Oryctolagus cuniculus: one gene and its partner. The protein of the gene in region 1 purifies or fractionates together with the protein of each later gene. This does not show direct contact. Links are inferred from orthologs where the notes say so. Each region holds a gene or a part of one and is shown on either strand. Other genes may lie near its edges. The genes, in order: DEPTOR and FBXW11.

Region 1 (4,564 bases):
CATGACCTCAAGGAGTCAGTTCACCTGTCCTTCCTGAAATTGAGAAGAAGGGTTGGTCTTCCTACCCAGTGGATCACAGTGTGTCTCATATGTCAAGCGAAAGGTTAAGACAATATAATAAGCAAACAGGTTCCTATTTCCCATTCTATATTATAGAATTAAAACATGAACAACAGGCTCTGTGACTTCCACTTCTGAGGAATGATTGCTATCTTTTACGTAGAATGAGACTCTTAGAATCACATTCACCCGGAAGTAAGTCTCTTTTGGTCAACATTTCCAACGTGGTCAATTTAAAAAAGGTTAAGGAGCAGACCATTTCTTCTGGCAAACTCTAATACAACTGCTGAACATACGAGAGAGTTGGACAACTGTTCTCTTTCTGAAATGTGGCTAAGCAGGCCCTGGGGATCTGAGAACCAGGATGCAAGGCCTGCCTGGCTTTCTGGGTGTGAAATTAAGGCATCTCACCTTTTTATCCTTATGTTTTCTCACTCGTAGCTTGGACACAAAAATACTAACAGGCCAAACCAAACAATATAAGCCAAAGGTTCAGCATCATGTAAAGCACAGAATACTCAAGAAATTACCAAGAATTTTAAGTTGAAGGATAGTTTTGTTGAATATTGGAAAAGGCTAGCATGATCTTCCTTGAAAACAATGAGAAAAGAGTAGTGCAGCATAGCAAACCTGCAAGATAGTATAGTCTTAAATAGCAAAATTGGTACAGAATATGCACAGAAAATTGTTTTCATCATTCCTTTTACCTTCATGTTTATTCTGTAAACGCCTACATAGCTGCAATTGAGGGATTATGCATTGTTTTTTCAAAATAGCTTCACACTAATCTGTAGTTAGGGTACTGAGGCTTTCATATATGCAAAAACTGCCACAAGCTGCATAAAATGTCAATGCACAGATAGCTCTTCACTACCTCAACATGAACAGCTGGCCTTCCTGCCCAGGCTTGGAATCTGCCTGAAATAGAAATACAGCACATTTATTTGGCACTAGGCACAGTTCCTTCCATGCTTTCTTAAAGGTGGACAATACCATTATAGACCCTTTTAAGAGGCAGCGTTTTAACACGATTCTGAAGCTAAAATGGCCCTTATTACCCGTTTACCCTAGACAGGCGACCTCACCTGCCGCAGCTGAGTTAACACGAACATCCACGTCTAGTCAGTTTGTGACTTTTCCCAATGATTAAACAAGGCAACGACGGGTCTGATGCATTCTATTGCAGCAGGTGTCAACAGGTGGTAGCCACAATTATTTTGATTTTGTAATCAAGAAATAAAGCACGCTCAGTAGGAGATTAGAGAAGTGGACTGGAACTCAGGTCTGTATGATTCCCAGAGTTCTTTATCAAGTACACCTGTAAGGAAAGTCCGCTTTGGTGAAGCGGGTTGGCACGAGAATGTTCAATCCCTCCATGCCCTGCAGCGACACACACATCCTACCTTCCCCGGTCACTGGGAATATGCATGCTGTTACTCTTTTTACTCGGTAGCAACTGGTATGGAAAGGAAAACAGGATCGCCTGCACCCTTGCTTAGTAGCTTCCCGGCTTGTCCTCAGGTTTCCACGGCACGAGCTTCGTGGATAAAGAAAAGGGGGCTCACGTGAAGCAACCTCCACCTGCACCCACAGCTCACAAGCAGCGCCCCGCCCAGATGTTTATATTTTCCTCCTTCGGCCCCGCCCCCGGACCACGCGGGGTTCTGGACACGCCCCCAAACTGGAGTTCCAGGGGCTGGACTCGCCGGGCGCCTGAGCCTACCCACTGGGATTCCCTCTCCAGCCAATCCCGTCTGAGCAACGGTTCTGCCCCGAACAAAGATGGCGGGCAAGGCCTCCGTGAGGGCAAACTGATCCGATCAGCAGAGCCCACGCCGGACAGCCTTAGCAGTGGAAGCGGCGCGGCCCGGAGCATGGAGGGGGGCGGCAGCGCTAGCAGCGCTGGCAGCGCTGGCAGCGACAGCAGCACCAGCGGGAGTGGCGGGGTGCAGCAAAGGGAGCTGGAGCGCATGGCTGAGGTCCTGGTCACCGGGGAGCAGCTACGGTAAGGCGAGGGCAGAGCCCGTGGGCTCGCGGTGGCATTGCCAGCCCGTGCCCGCTGCAGACCCGAGCGCACGCGCGCCGGGGCTCGTGGCTCGCGCGGCTCGCGCGGGGCGCCGGACGCCCGGGCGCGTGGACGGTCCGCGCTGCGCCCGCGCCGGGCTGCTGCAGTCCTGCGGACTCGCGACTAGCGTGGGGCTGCGGAGGGGGCTGACGCGGGGAGCGAATGGTGCGCGCGGCGCCCTAGCCCGGCTGCTGCAGTCCCACGCGGGGCAGCCTCGCCGCCACGCGCCGCGCGCTGTCCTTTGCCAGGCACCTGGGTGCTGCGGAGCCTTTGGGCTGACAGCCTGCGCCGAGTCTGCCCAGGGCGCAAGGGCGGTCGGTGCGGGGCCGCGAGCCGAACCCAGCCTCTGTACTCCACTGGTCCGCTTCATTCCGGTTTCTCGTCTCGCCGGCACGTTCTCCTTCTCTGCCCTGAGTCTTGGTTGCTTCACCTGTGAAATGGGGCCGATCACCACGCCTGCCTTAGGTCGAGGGCTGGGGCTGCAGTCGGAGAACAGTTCTGGAACCCTGTTCCTGTCACCCAGTTGGCGCGTCCTGTGGGGCCGCAAGGGGGCGTGGAGGCCCCTTGTCCGGTTGCCCCGCTGCGGTGCCGACTCCCCAGCGCGCGCGTTTCAGGCACTGGGGCAGTGGAGTCCGTGGTGGCTCTGGGTCGCCAGCCTGAAGACTTGCCAGGTCTCGGCGTGCAATACCCCTCAGATTCCCCCCATGCCATCCGCGGCCCTTTCTGGTCATTCTGCTTGGCCGTATGTTTAAGGATTTTGCTTATGGTCTGGCTGGTTCCACAGCTGCCCTTCGTGTGGTCATAAATCAATTTACCAAGAAAGGGAAAAAAAAAATCCAGATTCGCAGTGCTTTAGCTAAAAAGTTGCATGCGGGCCCCTAGTCCTGCCAGAACACATACGCCCCAGTTCCTTCTAGTTCCTGGCTTGAACTTTCCCAGTCCATTTCTGGTTTCTGCTATGGCAGTGTTCCCGGACCTGAAGGAGAATCTTGCAAAGGGCCCTGCAGGATCCATAACCACCCAGCTTGCTGCAGTAACTTTGAGGAAGTAAACATTGGAACTCAAAATTCATTGAGTTTAACGCTACAAAAAGGCAAATGGCGCATTTCTATTCCTTGTTAGTTGTTTTTTTTTTTTTTTTTTTTTTTTTTTTTTTTTTTTTGACAGGCAGAGTGGACAGTGAGAGAGAGAGACAGAGAGAGAAAGGTCTTCCTTTTGCCGTTGGTTCACCCTCCAATGGCCGCCGCTGCAGCCGGCGCACCGCGCTGATCCGATGGCAGGAGCCAGGAGCCAGGTGCTTTTCCTGGTCTCCCATGGGGTGCAGGGCCCAAGCACCTGGGCCATCCTCCACTGCACTCCCTGGCCAAGCAGAGAGCTGGCCTGGAAGAGGGGCAACCGGGACAGAATCCGGCGCCCCGACCGGGACTAGAACCCGGTGTGCCGGCGCCGCAAGGCGGAGGATTAGCCTATTGAGCCACGGCGCCGGCCCCCTTGTTAGTTTTTTAAATGTGTGGTCAGAATGAAAGGGAATTGGGAACTTGTTTTCTTTCATCAAGAGCATTTCCTAATTTAAAAATTAAAATAAAACTTTCCTGATTTAATTTGAAATATTTTAATTAATTCTACAGGCAGAGAAACAGGGATAGAAGGAGGAAGTCCCCCTCCATTGGTTCACTCCCCAGATACCTGCAGTGTCTGGGGCTAGGCCAGGCTGAAACCAATCCAGGCTTCCCACGTGGGTGGCAGAGACCCAGCTACTTGAGCCGTCACCTGCAGCCTGCCAGGGTGTGCATTAGTGAGACGCTGGAATATAGGGGGTGGAGCTGGTCCTTGAACCCAGACCTTGGATGTATCTGAGATGCAGGTGTCTGAAGCACTAGGCCAAATACCTGCCCTGAAACACTTTCTTTTTAATAGTTTCTTTGCTCTTCCTTACTGTATCAACCTTTTGCAAGGCCTCCATTGGATAGGGTTACTTCTGTTTTACTTCCTTTACAAGTACCAAATTGTGAGGTAGCTCTGTTTGCCCAGCAAGCAAGTTCTCCTTCAAGGTGCAGCTTAAATGGCCTGTCTTCAGGGGCCCAGAACACTTGCACTCCCCTCTCTGCTTGTAGCTCTCTGGACGGTGAGAGGTTTGAAGCCCATATTGGAAAAAGCTGGAAGGCTATTTTACTCAGAAAGTAAACCTGGGATTAGTTCCTGCTCAGCCACAGCAGCCAAGTGTCAGCATTACATTGTTTTGGGAAGTGGATCCCCACTTTGCTCCTCACTAGAGTGGGACCTTGGGCAAGTTGTTGAATTAAGAATAGTGGGGTGGGTAGGGGCTGGCACTGTGGCATAGTAGACTAAGCCTCTACCTGCACCACTGGTATCCCATGTGGATGCCGGTTCGAGTCCCAGCTGCTCCTCTTCTGATCCAGCTCTCTGATATGACCTGAG
Region 2 (3,813 bases), about 87 Mb from region 1:
ACCTTGAGAGGCAGCAGTGATGGCTCAAGTAATTGGGTTCCTACCACCCATAAGGGAGACCTAGATTGAGTTTCAAGCTTTTGGCTCTGGCTGTTGCAGGCATTTGGGGAGTGAGCAAGTGAATGGGAGCTTCCTGTCTGTCTCTCAGAAAAAAAGAAACAAACAGAAAAAAGAGTGGACTCAGTTTAGAGGACAGAGTCTTTTCTTGGCTTTCTCAGTAATTGAGCAGCATGCATTTCTCTTTTCATTTAGAGTCTGGGATGTGAACACAGGTGAAGTTCTCAACACATTGATCCACCACAATGAGGCTGTACTGCACTTACGCTTCAGCAATGGACTCATGGTGACCTGTTCTAAGGACCGCTCCATTGCCGTGTGGGACATGGCTTCGGCCACCGACATCACTCTACGCCGTGTCCTGGTTGGCCACCGTGCTGCTGTCAATGTAGTAGACTTTGATGATAAATACATCGTGTCTGCCTCTGGTGACAGGACCATCAAAGTAAGTGAGTCTTTAATCATAGCCCTGCCTGCTTCTGTCTCTTATGGACCAGAGAGAGAGTGGAGACAGGTCAGTACATGGCAAGGTGTTTATTCTTCTTTAATGTTCATGAACCTGTGCAGCCTTCCCATTCCACATACTTTTAGTGTCAGGCAAGGTAGGAGGAAGTCATCGATCCAGAAAAGAGAATAATAGTTTTCCATTTCACGAAATGACATTGTTGATAATTTCCAAGAGGAAGAGAACCACACCATTGAGCACACATTGTGTGCTAGGGGCTTTATGTCACATCTCACTTAACCATCCTCGTACTTTTTGTTATTTAGGTGTTGCCTCTGATTCATAGCCATGGCTCAGAGGGTGAGGGAAGAACTCTGTTGAAGGTCACACAGCTAGTAGCAAATCTTGTTTTATTCACTTAACTTAGATAGCTTGCCTTGCCATTGACCCTGGGCTGGATATTGGAGATTTGGTGAGCCTGACCTGTCCATGCTTTCAGGAAGCTCAGCCTGTGGTGTGTATGTGAAGGCAGAAATAGGACGAGAAGTTGTAGCCTGGGATGGTCCACAAGATATGGTCATTGCAATTCTGATTCCAGTGTCCATGAAAACTTTTTAAAATTCTAGCTTTCTTCTGTATTTATGACAACTTTACTGAGATGTAATTTCCATATCATAAGATTCATTATTTTGAAGTCTATAATTCAGTGACCTTTTAGTTTATCTGAAGTGTTGTTTAAAATTACCCCAATCTAGTTCTGGAAGATTTTTATCTTAAGAAGCATCATACCCATTATGAATGAATCCCCACATGCCCCTTCCAGTCCCTGGCAGTCACTACCCTGACACCTGTCTCTATGAAAAGGCCCGTTTTAGATATTTTATACAATTAGAATCATACATGTGGCTTGTGGTTGTTTCAGTTTGGTTTTGACTATTATGAATAGTGCTACTATAAACATGTATAAGTTATTGCATGTTTGTGTATTTTTATTTCTCTTGTGATGGTAACTCTGTGTTTAATATTTTGGGGAACTACCAAACTATTTTCCAACATGAACTTACTGTTTTGCAAACATGCCAATGGTATATAAGCGTTTGAACTTGTTCAAAAAACTGTCTTTTAATGACAGTTAAAAGCTCTAGACAGTATTCTGATACCTAGCTCCACATAACATGGACTGTATTGTATCAAACTTTGGTTTAAGTGGCCTGGAAACTGAACACGTAGTATTTCTGTGTGTTGATTTATTCCATAGTCACAGCAGTGAGTACAAGACCAGTGCCTGAAGTCAACAGGGTCTGGGCCTTATTGCAAAAACAACTGTTTTGTAATATCAGCTGGAAGGTTTTTCCGTATTCTTGTCAACAGTTGTTATTACCTGTCTTTTGTATTACATCTGTCCTGATAGATGTACAAGAAAGAGTATCTTTGGTTTTGCTTTGCAGATTATAATAACTGATGGTATTCAGTATCTTTTCATATGCTTATTGACCATTTGTATATCATCTTTAGAGAAATATCTGTTTCAATCTGTTGCCCATTTTAAAAATTAGGGAATTTGTCTTTTTATCACTGAGTTTTAAGTGTTCTTTATGTATTCTGGATACAAGACCCTTATCAGATACATAATTTGTAAATTATTTTACCCTGTTTTATGGGTTGTCTTTTTTACTTTTTAAAAAATTTATTTTATTTATATAAAAGGCAGAGTGAGAGAGAGAGAGATCTTCAATGCTATTTCATTTCCCAAATGACAGCAACATCCAGGGCTGGGCCGAGCTGCAGCCAGAAGTCCAGAACTCTGTCCTAGTCTCCCACATGGATGGCAGTGGGCCAAGTACCTGGACCATCTTCTGCTACTCTCCCAGGTGCATTAGCAGGAGCTGGATCAGAACTGGAACAGCCAGGACTCAAACTGGTGCTCTGATATGGATGCTGGCCTCGCAGGTGGTGGCTTAACCCACTGTGCCACAACATCAGCCCCTTCACTTTCTTTTTAAAAATTATTTGTTTGAAAGACAGAGAGAAAGAGATCTTATATCCACTAATTAATTCCCAAATGCTTGCAACAGGTGGGGCCGGGCCAGGCCAAAACCAGGAGTCAGGAATTCAATCCATGTCTCCCACAAGGAGTTATCACCTGCTCTCTCCTTTGGTGCACATTAACAGGAAGCTGGAATTAGAAGCAGAGCCAGGACTTGAACCCAGGCATTGTGGAATGAATGTGGGCATCCCAAACAATGTGTCTTAACTTGTCCTCTAAATGTCTACCCCTCTTTTCACTTTCTTATGTTGTTCTTTGATGTGCTAATGATTTTAATATTGATGACATCAAATTATATTTTTAAATTTTGTTGTATTATTTTTATTTTGTTATTATCATCTAAGAAATCATTGCCTGATTTAGTGTCACAAAGATTTACTCCTCCGTTTTGTTTTAAGGGTAGTTTCGGCTCTTATATATAAGTCTTTGATCCATTCTGAATTACATATTTTATATGGTATAAGGTGGATATTTATCTCTTGTTTTGTATGTGGATATTCATTTATCCCATTTGGCTACAAATGCAGCTGGTAAAATGATTCACACCTCTCAGGTTGCCGTATATCTCTGCATTTGGCTTCCTAATATATTAAATATATTAAATAGATCTATAAGCATGATTTCAGAAAAGTGGGGATTATTTAATCCACATACATAATATTAGCATTGATGTTTCAAAACTAGTGGAGCTATTTAAGAACTTATGCTGGGGGCAGGTATTGCAGCACTGTGGGGTAAGCTGTAACTTTGAATATGCATGTCTCATATCTTGAGTGCCAGTTTACATCCCAGCTACTACTCTTCTGATCCAGCTTCCTTCTGGTGTATCCGGAAGGCAGCAGAAGATGACTGAAGTGCTTGGGTCCCTTCCACCCACATGGGAGGGCTGGATAGAATCCCCAGCTCCTGGCTTCATTCCAGCCAATCTCTGGCTTTTGCAGGCATTTGGGGGAGTGAATCAGTGAATAGAAGATTCCTCCCTGTCTCTGTCTATTTCTGTCTTTCTCTGTTTTTCTGCCTTTCAAGTAGATGAAAATAAACATCAAAAATAGACCTATGCTGAAAAAGAGGAGGGTATGAAAGATAAAGCTTTTTTTTGTATCAGTTACATTGGGTGTGATATGTCAGCTGGCGTAGAAATGTAAAATCTGACACAAACTCCTTGCGTTAGGCAAATGAATGTCTGAGCCATCTTGTAGATATTCTCTTTGTGAGGATCTCAAAGTTTGGAGACTTTGCAGCTTCCCTCATATTTATTCCAGTT

What was found.
Region 2: the proteins of DEPTOR (region 1) and FBXW11 purify together in Homo sapiens (affinity purification with western blotting; 4 studies listed by BioGRID, with this or other methods). This does not show direct contact. The link is inferred for Oryctolagus cuniculus from reciprocal best matches to the Homo sapiens genes DEPTOR and FBXW11.

What each region holds. Positions count from the first base shown.
Region 1 is NC_091437.1:145,637,034-145,641,597, forward strand, and holds the start of DEPTOR (DEP domain-containing mTOR-interacting protein), read left to right. Parts: upstream 1-1,605; 5' UTR 1,606-1,676; coding exon 1,677-2,065; intron 2,066-4,564. UniProt on the Homo sapiens protein: Negative regulator of the mTORC1 and mTORC2 complexes: inhibits the protein kinase activity of MTOR, thereby inactivating both complexes. DEPTOR inhibits mTORC1 and mTORC2 to induce autophagy.
Region 2 is NC_091437.1:58,572,687-58,576,499, reverse strand, and holds part of FBXW11 (F-box/WD repeat-containing protein 11), read left to right. Parts: intron 1-252; coding exon 253-502; intron 503-3,813.